Oryzias latipes: one gene and its partners. The main gene of each other region encodes a partner of the protein of the gene in region 4 in a complex. Links are inferred from orthologs where the notes say so. Each region holds a gene or a part of one and is shown on either strand. Other genes may lie near its edges. The genes, in order: timm50, timm21, timm17b, timm23 and timm17a.

What was found.
Region 1: timm23 (region 4) and timm50 share a complex: the UniProt entries of both Homo sapiens proteins name them as parts of the TIM23 complex. The link is inferred for Oryzias latipes from reciprocal best matches to the Homo sapiens genes TIMM23 and TIMM50.
Region 2: timm23 (region 4) and timm21 share a complex: the UniProt entries of both Homo sapiens proteins name them as parts of the TIM23 complex. The link is inferred for Oryzias latipes from reciprocal best matches to the Homo sapiens genes TIMM23 and TIMM21.
Region 3: timm23 (region 4) and timm17b share a complex: the UniProt entries of both Homo sapiens proteins name them as parts of the TIM23 complex. The link is inferred for Oryzias latipes from reciprocal best matches to the Homo sapiens genes TIMM23 and TIMM17B.
Region 5: timm23 (region 4) and timm17a share a complex: the UniProt entries of both Homo sapiens proteins name them as parts of the TIM23 complex. The link is inferred for Oryzias latipes from reciprocal best matches to the Homo sapiens genes TIMM23 and TIMM17A.

What each region holds. Positions count from the first base shown.
Region 1 is NC_019871.2:1,071,215-1,074,726, reverse strand, and holds part of timm50 (mitochondrial import inner membrane translocase subunit TIM50), read left to right. Parts: intron 1-827; coding exon 828-932; intron 933-1,015; coding exon 1,016-1,114; intron 1,115-3,512. UniProt on the Homo sapiens protein: Essential component of the TIM23 complex, a complex that mediates the translocation of transit peptide-containing proteins across the mitochondrial inner membrane. Has some phosphatase activity in vitro; however such activity may not be relevant in vivo.
Region 2 is NC_019878.2:15,517,555-15,522,464, forward strand, and holds timm21 (mitochondrial import inner membrane translocase subunit Tim21), read right to left. Parts: upstream 3,529-4,910; 5' UTR 3,514-3,528; intron 3,405-3,513; 5' UTR 3,383-3,404; coding exon 3,100-3,382; intron 1,966-3,099; coding exon 1,903-1,965; intron 1,772-1,902; coding exon 1,674-1,771; intron 1,565-1,673; coding exon 1,491-1,564; intron 1,023-1,490; coding exon 917-1,022; intron 831-916; coding exon 738-830; 3' UTR 214-737; downstream 1-213. UniProt on the Homo sapiens protein: Participates in the translocation of transit peptide-containing proteins across the mitochondrial inner membrane.
Region 3 is NC_019865.2:21,320,470-21,325,471, reverse strand, and holds the start of timm17b (mitochondrial import inner membrane translocase subunit Tim17-B), read right to left. Parts: upstream 3,116-5,002; 5' UTR 3,091-3,115; coding exon 3,065-3,090; intron 1,412-3,064; coding exon 1,312-1,411; intron 1,232-1,311; coding exon 1,168-1,231; intron 1,010-1,167; coding exon 881-1,009; intron 801-880; coding exon 690-800; intron 1-689. Other genes in the region: pqbp1 (polyglutamine-binding protein 1), read left to right, coding at 4,185-4,251, 4,332-4,443, 4,568-4,668. UniProt on the Homo sapiens protein: Essential component of the TIM23 complex, a complex that mediates the translocation of transit peptide-containing proteins across the mitochondrial inner membrane.
Region 4 is NC_019877.2:13,786,367-13,791,355, reverse strand, and holds timm23 (mitochondrial import inner membrane translocase subunit Tim23), read left to right. Parts: upstream 1-1,625; 5' UTR 1,626-1,905; coding exon 1,906-2,011; intron 2,012-2,137; coding exon 2,138-2,196; intron 2,197-2,282; coding exon 2,283-2,376; intron 2,377-2,601; coding exon 2,602-2,686; intron 2,687-2,773; coding exon 2,774-2,832; intron 2,833-3,201; coding exon 3,202-3,312; intron 3,313-3,856; coding exon 3,857-3,975; 3' UTR 3,976-4,451; downstream 4,452-4,989. Other genes in the region: elastase-1, read right to left, coding at 4,588-4,767, 4,841-4,989. UniProt on the Homo sapiens protein: Essential component of the TIM23 complex, a complex that mediates the translocation of transit peptide-containing proteins across the mitochondrial inner membrane.
Region 5 is NC_019863.2:11,441,247-11,446,220, reverse strand, and holds the start of timm17a (mitochondrial import inner membrane translocase subunit Tim17-A), read right to left. Parts: upstream 3,303-4,974; 5' UTR 3,218-3,302; coding exon 3,192-3,217; intron 1,901-3,191; coding exon 1,801-1,900; intron 1,574-1,800; coding exon 1,510-1,573; intron 625-1,509; coding exon 496-624; intron 1-495. UniProt on the Homo sapiens protein: Essential component of the TIM23 complex, a complex that mediates the translocation of transit peptide-containing proteins across the mitochondrial inner membrane.

The DNA of each region.
Region 1 (3,512 bases), on a different chromosome or scaffold from region 4:
TGAAGCGCTGAGGTCAAACACAACCAAGCTTCACGTAGGAGAACACGGACCTCAGACAACCACGGCGGCCGTCCAAAGCCCGTCAGACCCCCCGGCGGTCTGTGCTCACACTGTAGTCCATGTGCCGCCGTTAGCTGCCGCTCAGCCAATGAGGGGGGGGTAATATGGGGGGTAATGGAGGGGCATTGAGGGTGCTTGCTGCTTTCTTTTCACGTTTTATACGTTAAAATTGTTCAGATCATCACCCCTTCATAGGGAATAACGAGGCATTAACAACGACGTTTCATGGTTAAATTCTGAACCTGTCAGAAGGACTACGACAGCAGTCAGAGGTTGGCGTTTGGGGCCGGAGCTCAGAACTAAATGGATTCAAAGGAACCAATGAAGAACTTCCTGAACCGCTGCAGAACTCAAACTTCTAGCTCATCATAAAAGTCTGAAAGCAAAGCCATAAAGAAACTCATAAATAGTTGAACACCAAGCTTCATGAGGAAACAACAGAGCAGATGTTGATGGAGGAGGATTAGACCCACAAGTGCTTCTGTTTCTAATCCGTCTCAGAATTACAGGTTTCCTCCCAAAGTGTGTTGTGTGGTTTTTTTTTTATTATTGGTTTTGAATTTTAGGAATTTTGGTTTCAAACATGCAGCCTCACAGGAAAAGTATTTCTGTCATCTTTCTCAAGGACTTCGGTCTTTGAGGTCCATGAACTCACCGCTGGTTTCTCTGACCAGGACTTTGGGTTCATTTGAACGCCTCATGACCCAGATCAGCAGAGAAGCTGTTGTAACCCGGCGGTTGTGTGTTCTCTCTGTCTGTGAGTCCAGTTGTCGACGGGTTGGCGCTTTAAGAAACGTCCGGGCATCGATTACCTGTTCCAGCAGCTGATGCAGTACTACGAGATCGTCATCTTCACCGCCGAAACCGGCATGGTGAGCGTTTGCTCCACGTTCTTCCAGAGGAACCAGGAGGCTGGTTTGGTTGGGGGTGAGGCTGATGATGCTCTGCTCCTCAGACGGCGTATCCCCTGATTGACAGCATCGACCCGCAGGGTTTCGTCATGTACCGCCTCTTCAGAGACGCCACGCGCTACATGGAGGGCCATCACGTGAAGGTGGGTTTCCTGAGAGCGCCGATCAGTCGGTTGGTTGGTTCTGCTTCGGTCGCTGGACCGTCACGATGCCAACCACCCTTTAAAACCCAGAAACAGAAGAGTTTCTGAAAAGTTTCATTTACCTTTTCAAAGTGTCTCATTGAAGGCGCAGCGCCAAAGCAGACACGCCTGACGGTTGTTTCCGCTTTCTTCTTCTGTTCTGGAAACTCCTAAATGAATTTGGATTCCTTTGACCTTTGATTAGCATTTCTGTTACTTCACAACTTTCCTGTCTGTTCTACATTTGTATTCTGCTGTCATGTTCAATGATTTGGTCCCATAACAATTAATTACCAGAGTTAATCACTTCTGTGTTTGCTTTTTGAAGATCCACTTTATTGGTATGCAGCATCACACTGATGCCAACCGCTGATAATGAAAAGAAAACAAAGACTAAGAAGAAGAAGAGAAGGTGGAGGTTGGTTTGTTTGCAACGGGACAAGAAATGATTTGACAGAATTCACTATAGTGCGTTTATGTCGTCTTTAGCTTATTTCATCAAAGTTTTTCACCCGATTTAAGATTTTCAGCTTCTCTCTGCCCTTTTGATTACAATTTCATAATTTTGCATTTTTAGTATTTTTTTTAAATCTTTTTTTTATGGTTTAAGGCTTCATCTATTCTTCTAGACTTTTCCAGCCTCTTTATTTAGGAGTTAGTGTTTTTTTAGCCCAGGTTGTCCTACATTCATAATCTTTTGCAGTGAACATTTTATTAAATAGCTCAACATTTATCTAGAATTCAGCATAATTAGCATTTTTGTCTCCAAAAGTCAGTCACCTGGTTTGCTTCTTGAGGAAACTTTATTCCCCTTGGCTCCTCCCAGTCACTTTCTCCGCTCCTCCTACATCAGCGCCTCCCCCCCTCCACCCCCAGCTTTCCCTCTTCCTCCCTCGTCCTCCTCCTGAGCGCTTCCAACTGTTGTTTTCCGCTGAGGAGCAGTCTGCTGGCAGCAGTTTAACCCAGTTCCCAGCGAGGTCTTCCTCTGCAGCAGACGCTGAGGGTTGAAGCTCCATATGCTGGAGGAGAGTCCCGATGCCGCTTCGGATCCTCCCGTCCTCTGAGACGGTTTGTGGCTTTCAGTGGTCGGTGAGGAAGATGGGGGGGGGGGGTCACTTCCCCTCATTAACCAGAGCCGACCCTTCCTCCGCCCGCTGCCATTGTTCAGTGGCCCACTTCTGAAGGGGATCAGACGTCTGATTATTGGTTGACTGTTTTTAAGCTGCAAAAAAACGGACAGATTAGATTTTTATTGGACGGGTTTGGGGAAGTGATTGGAGGGCAGCCGGCCATTGTAGGAGCCAGACATGGGTTTAACCCTTGTGCTTCCTAGGCACTTTAATGTTGGGAGTTGGGTCATCTAGACCCACTAGACAGTGCTCTGAACCTTTTTTCTTCAATGATTTGTGATCTTCACTGGTGTCCATGGATTACATGAAATCTTTCCACCTTTATCCACCTTTGTCATGGTAGGGAGAACATGTCAATATGAGGGGGGGGGGGGGGGGGGGTCATCTGGACCGCATAGGATAGCACAAGGGTTAAGTGACTATATGTCAATGGAGTTGCCTTCCACCGAGTTGCAGCAAACATCTGCTTCATCTGCTTCAGCTGCTTCATCTGCTTCAGATGCTTCAGCTGCTTCATCTTTTTTAGCTGCATATGAAGCAGCTTCCACACCCCCTGATCTTAGCAGCTGCATCTAAGATCAGGGGGTGCGGCACTCACATAAACTGTCGGATGATAAGAAGGTATTTTAAAAAGCACTAAAATGTAAACACCATGGCAGCCGTCCTTTAGGTTAATTTATATAACGCTGATGATTAATAAACTCAAAGAAAGACCTGGCGTTTAAATCTTTGTCTCTTCAGCCCAACTGAAAGGAAACGCTTCCTAATTTTAGGCTGTTTTAAGGGCTAAAAAATGGAAGCAGGTCAGTTCTCTGGGTGACCACTAGGGGGTTTGTTTCTCCTTCAAGTGGCTCCTCATTCACCCAGTGTTAAAGGTCAGAATGTGAAGATGTTCCCACTGCCTTTAACATTTATTTTTACCTCTGATGATCAGATACTTGTATGGAGGCGGTGCTTCTGTTAAAAAGGGGCGTGGCAGATTCATGACAAGTGTCTGTCCAATCGTCATATGGCGTGTTTCAGCCTCTGATGAAGGGTTTGGACCAAAAGTATTTCCATTTTCTGAGAACCGTTTTCCCTGAACGTCATGAGGCTCCTCCCCCTGGATCAGCTTACGTCATTCCCAGAAGATCCGAGGAGGATCGGAGGAGCTCCGACCTCCTCAGAAGCAGAAACAAACAGTCTGAAGGGAGACAGATGTCTTCATTCACTCCTGAGAGGAGGGGGCG
Region 2 (4,910 bases), on a different chromosome or scaffold from region 4:
ACAAATAATAATAGTTAAAATAAAGTTATTAAAACATTTTTTTAATTGAAAGTCATAATAATAATTACAAATGCTAAATTTGAAAGAGGGTGTGTTAAAAAGGAGATTCGTGTGAAAAAAAAACTCTTTTGGGGGTGTCAAAAGCTGTAGCAATGGGGACATATTTGTTAAAATTGACTAAGTAAAAAAAAAAAAAAAAAGATTTGTTAGACATTTTTCTGCAAGTTTTTATTTAAAATTCAGTGTAAATCATGTTAATAGGTTATTTAATTAAATTAGGGTTGCTACACATTTTACTAGATTTTCAAAATACTAAATTCTGCAGCTCCATCTGGTGATTCTTTTTTATTCACATTTTTACATGTAAAACAACAAAAAAGGATAAAGTAAGTTTGAATGGAGTAAAACATCCCCTACATTTAAAAGCAAAATTTGATCAAATTCATGTTTTATAGCATATTAGTTCTGTAGAATGTGATCATTTGTAAAAGCATACATTTATCTTCAAAAAAATATCTCTGTATGTTCTATTTACAAATTACTATTGTATTTTCATTAACACTGCGATAGAGAAGCTTTCTACCAAATGCTGAGAAATAATTTTATTAACCAATCCATTTCTTAAAATTTCACAATAATATATTCAGGAAAAAGCCATTTATTTAGTTCACAGACATGAAACCCTGCTTTACAAGTGCAAACGTCTTGACTTGTCCCCTGAGTGTCAGAAAAGCTCCTCATCTGTTGTCCTCCACAACAATAGTCCGTCTCGGGTAGGTATCTATTTCTACAAATACATAACGGAATTCATACTTTCCAGTTTCAAGATTCTGCAAAACAACAAGGATACCATTATCTCAACTGATCAAAAAATCCACACAAGAAACAACAGGTTTCCATTTAAATAAAGACTTACCTCTTTAGACTCTGAATGCACCGTCCCTTTCAGGCCCGGCTCCGATCCCTCAATGTAAAACTTTAGTCTCATGTGCTTAAGTCCATCCTTTACATACTCCACGTGACTGAAGTGGAAATATGAGAATAAGGAATAAAAAAACTCCAACAATAACATATATATGTAATAACCTTAACATTTTGTAACTCCATTCTTCCAGAGCTCCAGATTCTCAGATGCTTACAATAAATCAGCACGAATACCACGTTAGCTCTTCAAAAGACAATAAAAACTTTTATGTTTCATAGCTGTGGGGTCTGAAACTAAATTCTCCTTCATGACAAGTTTTGCATAAACGTTGAAGGAAATTCAATGCTGCTGAAAATATGATTTATAGCTGATGTTCACAGGTTGTGATTCTGAAAGGAAGTCCTTCAAATCCTGCAAAAGCATTTCCTCTAAAACTAAAGGCAGCTGCTTGTTATGCCAAGTTTGATCAGATTTACTGTATTCTATACCATGAATCAATGAATGCTAAAGCAACATTTTGCAAGTAAGAAAAAGTTCAATAAGATAAGATAAAGTGTCAACACACCTGACTTGCTGCCTTCTCCCTCGGCGGGTGGTCTCACCGTAACATTTAATTGGTTCTCCAAATGCCCCAATAACCTGCAATTGATTATGTATTTCTTACTTTTATTTTGGAAAAACAATGATTTCTAGCCATTTCAACAGTAAAAAAATATTGATAGGAGACGCCGTCTGGCTTGATTTTTACCTCTGGGTGCGACCTGACTTTGTCAAAGGCTCTGCTGTAGACTTTATTTGGGCTGGTAGAGGAAAACAGCTCTTGGAACACCACATATAACAGCCCCCCTGACCAACACAGCAGAAAACTGCAGCTGATTATTTAGGTTGTGTGTTCTGGGACCAAATAAATAAATATATAAACAAGCAATGTGGGATTGTTGTGTAGCCATTCCTTGGACTCGTGCAGTTCAATTCACCTGTTACTCCAAGCCCGATGAGGACCACGATCAGGTAGGTGAAGTCTCTCCCAGCATCTTTGACTGAAAGACAAACAGAGCAGAGGCTCTTGAGTGGCCAATGCATAGTGGAAGAGTTTAGATTTATAAGCAAAATTTAACCCAGAGTGAAAATATTCCAGGTTTGATATAAAAGGAAACTGTGTGTCTGTGCAGACGGGTAGCTCTATTAGACTGCGGCTATAAGAGATGACAAGAGGAGGAGGAACTCATCAACATAACGTTAGGTCTGGCCCTCTAGTATGCCCCGAGGTATTATGATGACAAGTCCTAAAGATCTTTAGTTAGTTAGTTTCTGCAGAGCAGCAGTAGTTCAATAGAAATTGACCACTGTGCTGTTGGCGTGGAGCAAGCCTGCTCCACTTCCCATCACCAACCTATTACCCGCTCCCCCTCACACCCCCAACCTAACGTTACCAGAGTTAGTAATTACTTCATTACTTTAAAAATAATGACATAAAAATAGAATAAAGGAGCAAATTCTTGGTCTGGAATATATATATTCCAATGCTGGAATAAATGCAAAATGAAATATATCCATTGATTTGATGAATTAATGCAGAATTTATCTTCAAGATTAATTTGGATTTTCTTTTCTTTTTTCAATAAACCTTGTTCAATTGGATTTGGCATTGCTTATTTCAAGCAACCAAAGCAAAAACAATGCTGAAAACTACACAATCAACATCCATACAAACTAAGATGTATCAAACATAGAATATTTAGTCATTTAATTAAAGATGGCTTGAAAGGGAGTGGAAGGAAGCAAACTTATCAAACTTAACATTTTCTTTACATGAAGTATCCGGTTCATAACTTCTAAGCGGATATTTATACCTTACCAACACAGTTTCAGGTCATTAAGAATCTTTAGGTATCAATAAATCACATGAAAAAGATGAAGTACATAAAGTGAGTGAATGAGGTATAGACTAAAGAGGGCCCAGAACAGAAACCTGAGGAACACCACAGGAAAGGGAGTAGGAGTTATTACTTGCCAAGAAACTTTGAAAGCAGCTTTGGTTGTAAGAAAACAAAATGGGCGGTCCTAAAACAAGATTTTTAGTTTTTTCTAAATAAAATAGTAGCTTTAAACCCCATTTAAAGAGACAAGACAGTAAATATGCGTTTAGTTGCACAAATCTGAAATGGGCATACCTTTCTGAGCAGAGGACACTTTAGGACTCTGGTAGGCAGAAACAGACCTGTGCTTCTCCTCCTTGTTTCTGAGGATAACGTGAACAGAAAAGCGTCTTCGTGTTTGACAGAGACAGCTCAGGGCGGACACAGGAGCCTCTGACCCACGGACGGACAGGCCGGGGATGACCGCTCCTGCTCTGCGTGTGAACAACAGCACGCCAGCCTGCTGCACGGGGAGAAATGTTTTCCCGGAGCTCCGCACACTTTGTTGCACGGCTTTTAAAATGTGCGTGAAAGACATTATTTTATCCGACGGACAATATCTGAAAAAAAGAAAAGAAAACAGCAGCTCATCTACTGAAAATAAGAATCAAATAACAGCGGTCTTTCATGGTAACATGGAATTGCAATGCTGGAAACCGCCATTCAGACCTCTGATTCACTGACCTGCTGGGTCGATCAGACGTCGAGGATTTTCTAAAGATGGCTACTGCCCCCTTCTGTCCCGGATGTCAAACTGCAGCCTTATTTGTGGTCTGGGGCTTTTTTGACCTTACGTCGTATTTCGCTTTATTGATTTATCTTCAAATCGGTTTTTGCGGCAATGCTTGATTTCCATCCTCTTTTTAAAAACCCACACTTCGTTTTACTGATTTTGTTTTCATTATACTGCACAATAACTCCACAATGAAGTTGAAACTGTCCAAAAAAGTCAATTCTGAGTGATAAATGTGGTCTTTTTTCTGCTAAAGATTCAAGATTCAAGAATTCTTGAAAAAAGACCACATTTTTTAGCAGAAAAAATGTGGTCTTTTTTCTGCTAAAACAATGATTAAAAAATTGAGATCAAACAGTTTTTATGTTTTATAACAAAGGTAAAACGTGTTGAGACAAAACAAAGTTATAAATCCAAAAAAACAAAACATGCAACAATTTAGACATACTTAATTAGAAGCAGAGTTTTTTCAACATAAAAATAATTCACTTAAGGTTTCAAACTTATTGACTTGGTACTTAGGATTATGTAAATACTTTAAATAGACCCTTAATTAATACAAGTTTTTTTTTTAATTACAGGTATAATTTATTTTAAAAGGATCCTTTCATGTTGATAAAAAATGAAAGGAAAACAAATTACTGCTCACTACAGCATTACTGGCTAAGGACTTAAATGCACAGCAGACATGAATATGTATTTGCTGAATGGCTGTTTGAGTCAGCACTCCCACAAATTTCAGAAACATCTGATAAATGCATATATTTTCTTTCCTATTTCAATTAAAGTTGCACTTTCCTGAAAGCAAATCCACATGATTGAGATTTTATAACAATGTTATTTAGTGTCTTTGTGATTATCAATTACATTTTTGGGGCTGCTTGAAGTTGATTTATTCCGAAACAATATTCCTGTCTGTTTTTATTCAAATTTTTGTTCAAAATAAGTTTAAAATGTTTGAAAACGTATCTTTAATGTGTTCACTAAATGTTTATCCTGTTCGGCCCACAACCTGGACCCCTGTGCAATTGAGTTTGACACCCTTGTAATACGAGTATATAAAATTCTTACATTTGTGTTGATTTTTGTGTTAATTAAAAATAGGGAACACAAAACGATGTGGTCAATGTGGGTGTGGGGGGGGTTGTAAGTCAGTGTAGAACTGCCACTGAACAAAATATTTCCATTGTCACACCAGCTTCCTTCTTCCTCAGGGGATTGGTCAAATACAAAACTGGTCAATTTGTAATATAATCTATAATAAAGCAAGAATAAATAAATAACAAACACAGATTTTGTTTTAATTTTCTGGCTACTCTTGTTGGGGATCACC
Region 3 (5,002 bases), on a different chromosome or scaffold from region 4:
AACAACAAGGTCGTAGAATGCTCTGAGCAAGAATGTTCATGCACAGTTTTTTCACGGACACGCTGCGAATGACAAATCGGAGTGAACGCTTAAACAATGTGTGTGCGCTCCTTGCGTGCAGCCTGACTAACGTCCTACAGGCAATTCCACATCGCAGGTGTGCAGCATTTGAGTCAGTGTGCACAACCTGCTAATGAATAGAGTGTGGTGTAAGCCAGTCATACGTCACTATCCTTAGAAATACTTCACAAATACAAACTTACCAAACGCATGACAACTGTACATTGCATTTTTAGTGACGTTCCATTAGGTACGAGACTGAAGGGAAACTAAAAGACACATCTGCTCCCCTCAAGGTGCAGCTGATTGTCTCTACGACCCTCCACAGCCCCGAACAAACCAAAAACCAGCATATGACTAAGGATTAACCAAAAAATTCCAGTTTGCAGCCTTCATTTTGCCCTCATCGTGTTTTTTTAACAATGCAAATCACATTTTGCTGATGTAATTTCCCTGGTGTCTTCTGCATTTGCCGCGAAAAAAACTTCAATAGTGTGAATAGGTAACAATAACTAAATGTATACACCAAAGAAAAAGTCAACCTGATTTATATTACTGTAGAATACAAATATGATTTTCAAAAACTCATTTTTGGAAGAATAAAACCACCATTCAAGAGTTTCACTCACGGTTCTGAAACTGCTGTGCAGTGTATCTGGTTAGCAGGATCCCAAAACCCTCGATGAGAGCGAGCAATATTCCTCCCATCATGGCAGAGCCCACCATGGTCAACGGTCCGCCTGAGGAAAGACACCCTGTCCGCTCAATTCCACCAAACACTACGACCCGCTGAGAGTGTGCGGCCCAGACTCGCTCTTACTGCGTGCTGCTAGAACGGCTCCGGTCAGGGCCCCGCTGGTGATGGAGTTCCACGGGTCTTCTTTCCCTCTCAGACGGACCAGACCACAGTCGATCGTGGAGAAGAGCCCCCCCCACACTGCAAAGCTGCCTGCAAAAATGTTCAGGGGAGTGTGAAAAACAAAAACAAGAAGAGAACAGCTCTTATGGCATCTAGGTATAATTTTTCCAATAAAGAGATGAACAGCAAATGACATTGTGGTGAAGCCAGGAAACCTTTTGTTATTAATAAGAGCAAAATCTCCTCACCTCCAATCTGCGGCGCTCTTATTCTCACTGCATTGGCGCTTCCTTTTAGCCTGTGTGCAACACCCTGAAAGGTCAGACTGCTGTTAATTATTATCCTCACAAAACAGGCGCATCAGAGCCAACAGACTTGTGGTTTTAACTCACGGCGGGGGCGTTTCGAAACCCCTTGACTGCTTGGAACACCCCTCCACCAATTGCACCCATAGTAAACGCCCCCCCACAGTCATCCACAATCCTCCAGGGGCTGCAGGAAAGAAGTCAGATCATGAAAAATTACGGACACAGAGGAAAAAAATTGCAGATTGACTCATCAGGATCTGAATGAACCAAAATTAGGCCAAGAAGTTAAAGGTGTAGAACTGAAACAAATAACCTTTTTATTAATTTCTTAGGAAAGCTATCAACGATCCGGCATACTTTCCAGCTTCCACAAGAATTCATCTTTGGATTATATTAACTCCAAATCCCAATTTTAGCTGCAGTATATTATTAAACGACAGATGCAGACATTATTTAAGGTCACACTGAACCTGCATTTTCTTTAACAGCTTTAAAACACTTGTTTAAATAATTAGTCATTGGATTAAGACAGCAAAACAGCAACATATTATTGTTCTTTCTGGTGGCTTACTGCTGCAGGAGGCTCAAATGTTCAAAACAAACAAAGATCTAAATGAGAAGACACAGGCTTTTTCATGCTAACTCTTCTATTTATTCTACTTTGTCACGAGTCAAATGATAAATTAAAGGATTTTCCTCTGATTCTTTTGTCTTATAAACTTAGGGGGTTCTCTCCATTCAGATTTACTCTCTAAAGGCAAAATAATGGATCACAGATCCACAGTGTTTTCTTCTGACACAAGGGGAGTGAATTCTGACTTCCTTTAAGTTCAAAACTAGGAATAACCACAAAGCAGGAACAGATCAGAGAGAAACTGATTAGATCAGAACAGAGAAGAGCCAGAGGTGGCAGAGCTTGTAGCTGCGAGGGGGAAAAAAGGAGGCAGAAGGGAGCGGCGTGGGGCAGCAAGCAGACGGAGCGGCGTGGGGCAGCAAGCAGACGGAGCAGGAGCAGACCAAAAAGAGAAACAAATGATTCTGTCTCCATGTTTTTACTCTGATTGGTTTGTGTGTCTTCCTTTTGTAGACGGTGGGGGATCTTTCTGTTAATCCCTCCAAAAACTCTGAACTCAGAAGTAAATGGGTTAACCATAACAACTATCTAATATCTATAATCAGTTAAATTCAGAAGTGTTATTATCAATCTGGATTATCAATGACTCAATGACAAGCATGTCAGCATTTTGATGAGTTGGGGCAGCTTTAGAGGAGATCTGTGTGCCTGAAGCCCTAGAAGTGTCGACTTTACTGAATTCTAATAAACAATCATCCATCTATGAAATAGTAGACAATGTTAATGATTATTCTTTAAAATGTCTGAAAGTTGTTGAGAGATTTAAACTGCATTTAGGATTTATAGAATAAATGTAACTGTGATCTTAATTGCTATTAAATACCATTATATTCTGTGATATATAAAACATCCATTTCTGCACAAGGATATAAATTGGATGTTTCGGCTTGAAAAACAATAAACAAGCTTACTACCAATTAATTAAAAATGTCACAAAATATGTAACATTTGTTCGCAATATGTTTTAAGCTAATTTAAAGCACTAACAGTAAATGTTGTCGTTTTTCCATAAATTGTAGAAATAATATATTTTATAACCTGCGAAATGTTAGAATTCTAGTTGAAATTAGATTACTTCTCGGTGGTGGACGCGAAACTATTCAACCTGGTCAGGTTTCGTTCAACAAGAGGGCAAAATTGCATAAAAGCCAAAGGACAAACTAATATGTTTAGGTTTTATTCGACAAAAAAAGATAATCTCACCAAGGTTCACGCGCAAACTCCTCCATCTTTCGTGTCGTCTTTTAAGCGCAGTGACGTCATAATCAGGCGCCGGCTCATCGTTCGTTGTGGTGGTCTGTTGATTTTAACGATTGAAATAGTCGTTTTTAAGAACAGGTACAGACTTTCCCCCCTCTTTGTTATTTATATAAACGCTTACTTGGTTAATTGAGTTTCTTATTATAGTTAGGAACTTCAAAATGACGGGATTTTGATTTATTTTAACCGCAGCTGTGAGTTGAGTTCAGAAAAACGGGCCTGGATCATGTTTTCGTGCAGATTATTTTAGCTCTTGAAATATTGTTTCTTTGCTAATTATCGATATTTTAAAACTGACTGAGCTACACTAACCTCAATATTTAAAAGACAAAAAAAACTTAACGTTTGAGAGTTTTAATCAATCGCTCCATAGTAGAACCAGAACCATCGAAATAACTTTCAGAAAAGTCCTGTTTCATTTTTTGAGCTGCTTTGAAATTGAGACAGTTTTGTGTGTGTGTGTGTGCGCGCGCGTGCGTGCGTGTTTAAATTTCGCACCTTATCATAAAATTTTCCTCCAGAGAATTTGTTTAGAAACAGTGAAGAATGGATTTGTTTGCTTCAAATACCTTATCTATACAGGTGCTCTGAATGTACACATCTGTACATCTGGATTTGGTCATAGAACATGTTTAATTTCAGAATTTGGGGTAATGGGTGTCTCTTATGTTGTTGCTTTTATGGGTTAGTTTGAAACGAAACAGTTCTGCCAAATTAAAGCCAAATCAGTTATTTAATTAATTGATTTTTCTATAAAAGTAATATTTTGTATTTGTCAGGTTAAATAAAACATTTTCTTTGCTTTTAAAGCCAGAAGTTGAATTTTATTGATTTAAAGTTCAAGTTTTGCTTTATTTAAATCACTAGTTAGGCAAAAATGTTTGTGAACGAACATAATTAGTTTTGGAATGGAACCTTTATTTTTTTTTAAAAAGAATTTATATTTAATCAAAATTTCTGCAATCCTAACTCCTGTACACAATCGGTGAATTCGTATGTAATCAACTGAAGAATTTGTCAGCATTTGCATCATCATTTAATCCTAACTCCTCTGTGCTTGCAGATGCCTCTACCTCCAGCCCTGCTGGCCCGTTTGGCCAAGAGAGGAATAGTTAAACCTTCAGATCAAGGTAGTATTCTACATCCTCACAGAGCTTACTTTCTGCTTTTTTTCTGAGCTTAAAACGACTTTTTCTCCTCAACAAAACAGAGATAGAGGAGGAGATCATCGCTGAAGATTATGATGACAACAATGTTGACTATGAAGCCACTCGGTTAGAAAATCTTCCCCCAAATTGGTACAAAGTGTTTGACTCGACGTGGTACGTAGAAACGAAGTCGATCAGCTGCGCTGCTGTGTTTGAGTATGATCACTGCGTGTCATTGATCTACCATTGAAATGAAAAGCAATTGCAGCTAAAGTTATTTGTTTTCTTCATTTCCCAGCGGTCTTCCTTATTACTGGAACATTGAGTCCGATCTGGTTTCCTGGCTTTCCCCAAATGATCCGTCAGCGGTTATAATGAAAGCTGCCAAAAAAGCAAAAGGTAAGAATTTGGTAAAGTAGATGACTTTGCTCTGCTTTCATTAAAAATTGTTTTACAGAGTTCATAAAATGTCCAAAATATTGGATTTTTACTTTTTGACAAGGGTATGAGGAAACAAAAAAAGAACATGAAGAGCATGAATGTGTAATAAACTCTCATATAGCTAAAGTTTATCCATCTTTATATTCAAACTTTGTTTGTCATGCTACTCAGATAATGATTGTTTTCTAAAACCTCAAAGATGTGGATTTCCTTTTGATTTTTATATTATTTTTATATTATATATATTATATTTACCGTAAATTCCGGGTTATAAAGCGCACCCGATCACAAG
Region 4 (4,989 bases):
TTTTTCTTGCCCTGTAAAACTTTTGGTTCTATTATTGTGATTCTTGGTCTATTTGTACTTGCTGTCACATAATCCTGTCTCATCAGACAGACAGGTAACATTCTAACGGAACAAAAAGGAGCCAAAGTTCTTCTTTCCTTTTTTCATTCAATAATTTTTCTGGCCTAATAACCCTTGGACTAACACAAAAACCTTCAATGCGACCCCATCCAGTGTGAAACGTCAACACACTTTTGGCATATTGTCATGCCATTGGTACCACCATTCCTTCAGTATGTAAAATAGTTTTGTTTTTGTAATTTTCAAACACTTTGTCACATTGAAAGTTCACATGTTTTTCTAAGAATTTTATCAAAACTGAACAGGCATCGTGAAAATCTTACCCATTTTCCTGTAAAAATATTAGGACCTTCTAGAATATTTCATTATTGCATCGTTGTTTTTAATATCGTCTTAGCAAAATAGATGTTCACACTATTGAAATAACTTCACAATCAGACTGTGGCGTTTACTGCCACCTAAAGCATGCACATTAGCCTGAATTTTGTGATATCTGCGGTATGATCTGTCACATTGTTGTATCTATTCTTTTGTTTTTAAGAGTCAGCAGCACCTATAATGTGACAAATATCCAAATTGTTCATACATCTATCCATTTTCTGAATCTACTAAATGCCCTACAGCCTAACGGCTACACCACCATGCAGCCTCAACTTTTTTCATTGTTTAATTTTCTGGTGAGTTCAGTTTCATTTTGGATTTAGTCTGTCATTTAAGTGTGATTAAAAAAAAACACACAAAAAATATTTTGATTTATTATGGTCAGAAGTGTTTTTAGACTAGTTTACAAAGAAAAAAAACTTAATGTGAATAAATAAAATTCCGAATGAAATATCTGCATACATTTCTGTATAATCTGTCTTTTACTGAGAAACTCTGACAACATCCAACTATTTCCAACTATTTTTGTAAGATTTGGGGACTTTAAATTTAAGTATGCATTTAATGTGCATTTAAATATGTCAGTAATCCATCCATCCATCCATTTTTCAAACCCACTGAATCTTTTTTTGAAGACAATTTTGTTTGATTTCCCCCAGAACCCACACTTTTTAACAAAAAAGAAAAAAAAACATTCTAATTTCTATTATTATTATGGCCCGCAGCAGCAATCACTTATTATTATTATTATTATTATTATTATTATTATTATTATTATTATTATTATTATTATTATTATTATTATTATTATTATTATTATTATTGTTTATTATTGTTGTTATTTAAGTCACTTATAACATAAATCTTATTTTTCGTTGTTGTTTTTATCACGTACCTAATTTAAAGAAACTATAAATAAAACTATAAATTGTCGAAGTAGAGATTGTATAATTTGTCAAGTGTCTATCTACAAATAAAGTTTTTTTATTTTGAATTGCTGTTTCAAAGCAGAGAGAGAGCCTGTCGTAAAATCTTTGGTTGTTTTTCTCAAATGTTACCAAAGTTATTATCAAATATAATTAGTTTAAATAATATTTTGAGTGAATTAATTTAATATAGTAATTTTTGACGAAGTTGAGAGAAAATTCTCTCATTTTTCAGGACTTGATATTGGACGTAACATGAGTGCGACGCCGGTGATCACTTTACGGCAGAGCATGCTGTTGGAGGTCAGTGGCATGACGTCAAGGCGAGTTCTGAGCAGTAAAACACGAGTTCGATTTGATTTTGCGTTCTTAAAATTTATCGGAGGTACAGCATAAGCTTTTATAGATGTTTTATTTTAGTGAAGGTGGATCCTGGCTGCGCTTCTGAATAAAAAGCTTTATAATTTAACATAGTGCTAACGACGTTAGCCGCACAGGCTCGACTCCCTATTCCACTTGACCCTTTAACTTCACAGCCATGGATAATAATTCACAAGGATCTGGGGGATTTAAAGGAGGTCTCGGAAGTATTTTTGGAGGGGGTGCCCCAGAATACTCCAATACAGAGCTGGCTGGAGTTCCGCGTAAGTATTGTGTAAACTTGATGTACTGCTAGATAGCTGCTCTCATTCCTGAGGAAGGAACCAAAAAAACTACAGGATCAATTAAGGACTTAATCGATTATAGTTTATGTTGTCATTGATTTTCAGTGACTGGGATGAGTCCCCTGTCCCCTTACCTCAACGTGGACCCTCGATACCTGGTTCAGGTACGTTTAAACATTAGTGTTGGTTGGTGCTTTTGTGTGTATCATCATGTTTGGCGGCTCTAACTGTCAAAATGTTTGTGTTATAGGACACAGATGAGTTCATTTTACCCACTGGGGCTAATAAAACTAGGGGGAGGTTTGAGCTGGCGTTCTTCACCATTGGAGGTTCCTGTATGACAGGTGAGTAACCTTAAATTTTTACATTAAAAACGACTTTGGGGCACGTACAGTAACGAAAATAAGATACAGAACCCCATCATTAACCAGCCATCTAGATTTAATTTCATTTCTATTCTTCTGACCTCTTTTGGTAAAAAAAGACAAAACAAAAACAAAACCATCATCATAGTTTTTAAACTCCCTAATTACTTAACAATACTAATTTCTTGCTTTTTTTCACTGCAGGAGCTGCCCTGGGAGCCATCAACGGTCTTAGGATGGGTCTGAAGGAGACCAGAGATATGACGTGGTCCAAACCACGAAATGTTCAGTAAGTTAACAGAGAGCAGGCTACAAATTCGTTTTGCACCCAAAAATGCGCCTTTTTTCTTCTAATTTGTACCTGTTTTGCCATCAGAATTCTTAATATGGTAACCAGACAAGGGGGATCATGGGCCAACTCTCTAGGCTCTGTTGGTAAGACTTACAGTTAGAGCTTGGGGGTTTTACGCTTTCATATTTCTTTGCCTCCTGTCATTTTTGAATGTCTTTTTGATAATATTCCCATCAAATCATTAGAAATTTTTAGTAAAATGCAGCCAAAATAAGTGTGGGCATTGTTAAATATGGCCTTCTGTGTGGCTACATTATTACTCAAGATGTCCCTGCTTAGGGAGGGACAGAATTCTTTTGTTTAGCTGCTTTCTGATACTTTTTCTGTAGTCGTCATGCATGTTCTTTTGTTGAGTAGAGTCACCACCTCAAGGTTAATCTCTTCAGAGGTTCAGGAAAGAAAGCTAGAACATCTGTGATGATGTTTTAATATGTATTTCTTTATTTTTTTAGCCTTGTTGTACAGTGTTTTTGGTGTGGCGATAGAGAAGGCCAGAGGAGCAGAGGATGACATCAACACAATGGCTGCCGGCACATTAACAGGAATGCTCTTTAAATCTGCAAGTAGGTGTTTTTCTGTTAATGAATCCAATTTGTTTTGTGGTACAGCGTTCCCTCGCTAGATTCACCTTGAAGCTGTTTCCTGGATTTTTTAAGCACAATTGTGCACATTGTGTTCTGCGTCCCGATTGGCTGTAGACCTTGTCAGTCAATCTCTTCCATGCTGTGTCTCCTGTCCAGAGTGCAGCTTTCCAAAGCTTCATAAATCTATCCTCATGCTCAGATCTTTGTTTTCATTCTATGATTCATTTTTCACGAAGGTTTGAATTTCTGAGTTTAAACAAGAAAAAAAAAGTGTGAAAATGTTCATGTCTGTCTCAGAAAAGTGTGGGGATGAGTTTTATATCCGTAAAATGTAAAGCTTAAAACATTTACAGGGTTATTAAAAAACATTATTTTAGGTTTTTAGAACTCAAATGAATAAAATTATTGCAGATTATTTAAATTTCTTTTTACTTGTACATAGTCCTGATTATCTTCTTTAGTGAAATATTTTCTGAGGTCCTCAGTATTTGGGATCTTTTTTTTCTTTTCTCTGTGCTCTCAGGCGGACTGAAGGGTGCAGCCCGCGGAGGCCTGCTTGGTTTGGCGTTGTCTGGAGCTTATGCCGTTTACAACAACTGGGACCATCTCACCGGCTCCTCCTCATCCTCGCGACTATACTAAACTCCCATGTCCTCATTTCGTCACTTGAGGTCAAAATGTGGATGGAGGACGCAGCCTTCAGCCACAGACTGCAGGGAACTCCTAAAGGAAGGAAACCAAGAAACCCACGAGCATTCTGGGAGTCTGAAGATGGTTGTAAAATAAGTTAAGGAAAAACATGGACTCAATTCCACATTTTTGTGTTTATCTTGTTATGTTCTATTACTGTTCTGTTTAGAATCCCACGTCAGGGTTTATTATTTGTTATAAGGTTGTTTTTGAAGCCTTTTCAGTCTTTGATGCTAGGTTTTAAAAATCATTAAACGGATGACGGATGAGGGGGAATCCTGTTTTTGTCATGGCTTCTTTGTGATTTCCAAACTCGGATCAAAGCCTTATTATCCGTTTTTTTTAATTGATGTATTATAAAGCAGTGAGAATCATCAAAAGCTGTATTGGAACATATATTATGAACTAAAATAAAACCATAAATGTTTCTTTTTTGTTTATATTGTTTTTATACCTCAAAGGGATGCAGACAGATAAATACAAAGAGTAACAAAAGGGATTTTGCGAAGCTGCATTTACATCAGGAAGTGTCTTCTGCAGAACAGGAGGAAACTTTGAGTTGGTTCAGTGCAGGAAAAAGTCCCTGATGCGAGTCGCCTCAATCCATGGGATGTAGGTGGCTGTGCGGGTGAACACGCTGGGTTTATTCTCAACGGTGCAGCCGATGGGGCCGAAGCTCACCACTCCATGCACCTCCCAGCGGTCTCGGTCCAGCTGGCAGAGCAGAGGACCCCCAGAGTCGCCCTGGGAGAGGAGGAAAGAAAACAGTGAAGGTACTTTTCCTGGTCTGAACATCACCAGTGGCTGGAAGGCTTACCTGGCAGGCAGCAGGTGGGTCCTCTGTGTCTCTGAATCCGGCGCAGATCATAGAGTCTCTGACACGGTCACCCCAGAATTTCTTCTGCCGGCAGGTTTTGAAGTCGATGATTGGCAGACGGGCTTGATTCAACGCTTCTGCCAGGGAGA
Region 5 (4,974 bases), on a different chromosome or scaffold from region 4:
CAGTAGTGCACACACATCTCACAATTTAAACATCTTAAAAAAGCCGCTGAGAGAAGCCAAAAAAGGAAATTCAAAAGAAACGCAAAGTGGAATGTAACTTTTACAGACCGTTTAAAATAGACGGTCTCTTTCTTGCATTATGTGATGACAGATGGGCCACATATGCTTCTAGAAAACATTTACTAAAGTTTAATAGTTTATTAGATGTAATGCCAGTTTTTTTAAAAATACGTTTCTGTGTGGATTTAGCCACAGTCTACATACAGCACAGAGGACCTCCACCAGTACGTTCCTGTTCATGTGCAAACATGGAATTTCACCAAAGTAAAATGATTCTGGTGTGTCTGACCACCTAGATAGCATTCAATGATTTGAATTGGTGCCAATGTTATATAGTTACTGAAATTCTGTATCACTACATGAGCTCCAAGTTAGATCAAGGCAAAATTTCACCTGAAGTTCTGTCTATTTTCAAAAGGGGAAATTTGTACTTACTTCTTGCAGCGAGAATAGCACCAGTCATGGCACCACTTGTTATTGAATTCCAGGGGTCTTCTTTCCCTCTTACTTTTACTAAACCACAGTCAATCATGGAAAAAAGGCCTCCCCACACCGCAAAGCTACCTGCAACACACACCCACAAATAATTACCAACTAGTAACCATCAGTCATCTTTTTTGACAGTATAGCAGAAAATGTTATAAACCCGTTTATGAATATAACCTTGCAAAAAAAAAAAAGACAACCAAAAGTTTAAACACAGTAATGGTTAACAAGCAACGTAAACCAATGAAGATTTGACCTTTTGGTGAAGTTGACATGACTCAAGGGTATTGTTGTTTACATGGTAAACAACCTGCTACCAGAACAGCAGAATAACCCCATCAAAGTCCCACTCCGATCATTTCTTGATCTATTGTAAAAGTGTCCCCAGTGGACTTTTTACTTATAATTATGCAGATTTGAGCAAAAAAAATAAAAGAACATGTCATTTTCTAGGACATAATTTTTGCAGAACAGCAGGAGTTCATTAAAAATTCACCTCCAAGTTCTGCTGGCAGAGTAAGTCCATCCCCACATCCCATCATCCATCCATTTATAGGCTTTCCTGCTAGCTTACAGTCCCTCACAACCCCAACCTAAAATTACCGCTGCAACTAAAATGGCAAGCAATATTGGAGTTTTCCAGCCGTACAGTTTTGAGCCAGATGCCTTTAATCACACCTACAAGCTTTTTCCAACAACATTTTTGCGTCTGCGCCTGATTCACAAAGATTTCGATGTAGAAATACTCAAAATAGAATTTTGAGCCTAATTTTCTTTATATATCCTCCATCTTGGAGAAAGAAGAAAAGAAAAAAAAACACAACACGCATTGTTGTTGTCGATAGCTTAGCTTTTGTTCTATTGGCACTACGCAGGAGGAAAGACAATCACCTGACCGGACCGGGATCGCTCAGTGGAAATGAGACATAAGTGTCGGCACATGTGGAATTTTTTTTGTCTTACCTCCCAGTTGCGGGGCTCTGGTCTTAATGGCAGTTAAACTACCCCTCATCCTGTGGCTCATTCCCTACAAAAAAGACCAGCACAAACAGATTTAAAAAGTGTGAAGAGCAGATAAACACTATAACACCCATCTCGCTGGAAAATATTTAAAGCTTCCTTGAGCGAGTCATTGAACCAGAAGGCCAAGGCTTTCAAAACACTGGCTCTGCCACTACAGGTAGGAGAAAGATAATCACAGCAAACCCATGTGACGGCACACACGTACAGTTCAAATGTCCAAACTGAACTTACCGAGGGTGCGTTTCTGAAGCCCTTTACCGCCTGGAATATCCCTCCTCCAATAGCTCCCATGGTGAATGCTCCACCACAGTCATCCACAATCCTCCAGGGGCTAAAAAACAAAAAACACAGACAAAGCTTAACCTCATGCTGTACTCATGGAGTGCCAGACAACAGACTACAGAACCTAATACGAGTATTTTTAAAATAAACAGCAGGTATTTGTTCGTTAATGAGTTCCAAATATATGGGGGGGGGGGGGGGGGGGGACAAAAACGAATAAATGCATCAAACTTGAGAGAAAAACAAGTCCACAGTAGACATCAATAATTTAGACTTTTTTATTGTCATAACTGGTTAAGAACTAAATGAAACAACTTAAAACTTGAATTGATTTAATTCTGTCTGTGTGTTGGGGTTGGGGAGTGCATCTGCATGCCAGTAAGCTAGCCCAAGATTTACAACGTCTAATTCTAGGAACTTTAGACATTGTTTCATGCATGGACCAAATACCTCAACACCCAGGTCTTAATACCACTGAGACCTTCAGGATGTGCTACAGGAGACTTCATTACAGTCATGCCTATTATCCAAAATGAAACATATTGCAGACCATTAAAACAATGCCAAGAGGAAATAACATGCTATATGTAGAGGACACAGTGCAACTGTGTGTTAAAGAAAAGCTCAAAACCGTCCAAAAAGATATATTTTGTGGAAATCAAGCAAAATTGCATCAAGTTCCATTGTTTTGTCACATCCTAGTTAAATGAGGTGGGAAAAAGACAACTGGTCATGGATCAGCCAAAATATAACAACTTAGTGTCACACTAATGGCAGTAAGGCCTAAGATGGGTTTTTACAGTCCACCTATAGTTAACACAATTTTACGTAGATATGATGGTTTTTTTTAAGTTGATTACAGGATGTCGAAACAAGTGTTTGGGGAATCTAGTAAAACCGATCACTCACAGGTTCGGGTTGACAGCAGTCAGAGTTACAACAACACGGGTCTCATAACAAGTTATACAAATTTTCTCTGAACAACAATGGTGATGTTGGCTTTTTGGTACTTGATGCAATCCGTGTTCTATTTAGTGCAAAGTCAACTACTGTTTTCAGTGAAGTCAGTAGAGTTACATGTGGACGAAATAGCCGACAAGGTCACCAACGTGATTTCACGACCATGCCGGTATGTCGTTAGCGTCAAGCTACCCATAGATTTCAAGGGAGAAATTAGCATTTCGGCTAACACCACTAACTAGCATGCAAGGTTAAGGACTGATAAAGTCATTACAACTGGTGATCAGAATAGGTACTCAAAGTTAAGGAACAAACATGTCTTGTTTTTTAACCAGACAATTAAGGTGATTTAAAAATAAATAAATAAATAAAAAACTCACCACGGCTCTCTCGCATATTCCTCCATTTTGTTCTTTCACCGTGTTCCCCTGAGCGTCCTGACGTAACCTCTTCTTCTTGACGTCACAGAACGTAAACCAATAGTTGAAAGTAATGAGTACCGCCATCTATCGAGCAGACGTGTGGTTGCAGTTTTCTGTATACATTTTTTCCGCTTTTTTTGGTTATTTATAATTCCAGGGAAATAGAAGACAAAAATAAATAACTTACAAAATCTCCAGTTAATCTGTCACTCGTGGACAAACAAATGCCTCACTATTTTTAAGTAAATACTTCTTAATATAAAATGTTTACGTAGTTAAAAATTATAAAAATTTGATAATATGTGTTTGCTTTTGTTTTTTAATAAAAATCTATACTTAATTTTTCACATAATTTATTTATATTAGCTGATCTATTAGCCAATCCTTGGGTGGTTGATGTGGTTTGTGACAATGCTAACATTTATAAATGTGACTGCAGACAGAGTATGAATGATTGTAGAAATTAGTCACAACATCAGAAACATCACAGGTTGGATTTAAAACATGAAGAAGAAGAAAACACTTTGCTGGTGGGAGTAGGATCCTTTCTGAAAATACTCACCAACCCTAACCCTATACATCAAGTGTCCGGGTGTACTCTGTGAGAGCTCAACTACTGAAATGTCAGCTACTTAAAGGCTTTGGAATTGTTTGCCAAAACAAAAAAACAGCCACATGTAGTTCAGAGCAACCAAAAGCTAAACTAAAATAATACACCCAAGATCACACATTGAAAAGCATTTGATTCTTTCAAAGATTAAAACCTTTTCAGACATTCAAGATATTTTACCAGGTTTTAAGTTGTTTGAACTTATTTTTGCTATACACATTCTCAGGAAGAGCAGAGATACAGAAATAAAGAAATAAGTATTAAAATGAATCCAAACTCTTTTGCTCCCTACTCTCGACAAGAGAAAAAACTTGTTTCAAGACTCAAAAAATCTCTAATTACAGTGTCATTTTTGGCTCAATTTTAAAGATTTTATTTTAGAGTTCAATAAATGTTAGACTGGCATTCAGTGTCCTTGTTTTGGAAACTGAGAATTTGATTTACATTCAAACAATTAGAGCTAAATTTTATGAGGATTTGTTCTAAAATGAGTCATTTCTACTTTTTAACTATTTTTTGTCACTGTAATCAAAATGAAATAGAATTAGGTTTATAAAAACTGAAAAAATTAAATCCATTTGCTTAGAACTAGCAAAAAATACTTATTATCGGACCGTACGATATTATTATAAGTTACTCTCTCGAAGTATGCTTATTTTTCTCTTTTTGAATGCTTATGTGGAACAGCTTGTTTCTAGATTTTAACATCTTATAAGTATAAATTACTTGCTGGAGACAATTTTACTAGTTTTTAGTGGTTTTCTTCTCAAGAATAGTGCTCTTTCTGTCTTTTTAGGCTACTTATTTTTGCAGTGCATGAAACTTAATCACTGAAAAGCATCATCTGGGTTCTTTTCCTCCTTTAAATGATATTTTTTACAAAACAGCTTCGATTCTTTTTTCCTCTTTTTTCCCCCCTGGTAAATACCACTGGTGGTCGGGGAGCTGCAGCAGTGCAGAGAGACGGCTGGCATGAAGCCCATTATTAGAAATAGGAAAGGAATGACTTGCAGAGTGAGCTTTCATTGAGAAATGACCAAATATGGGCATTTCATGTGTAAGGACTGAGTTTGGAGACACAACCTGGCCTGCAGCCAGTGCAGCTCCCCTCTCCTCTGTTTCAGGATGACG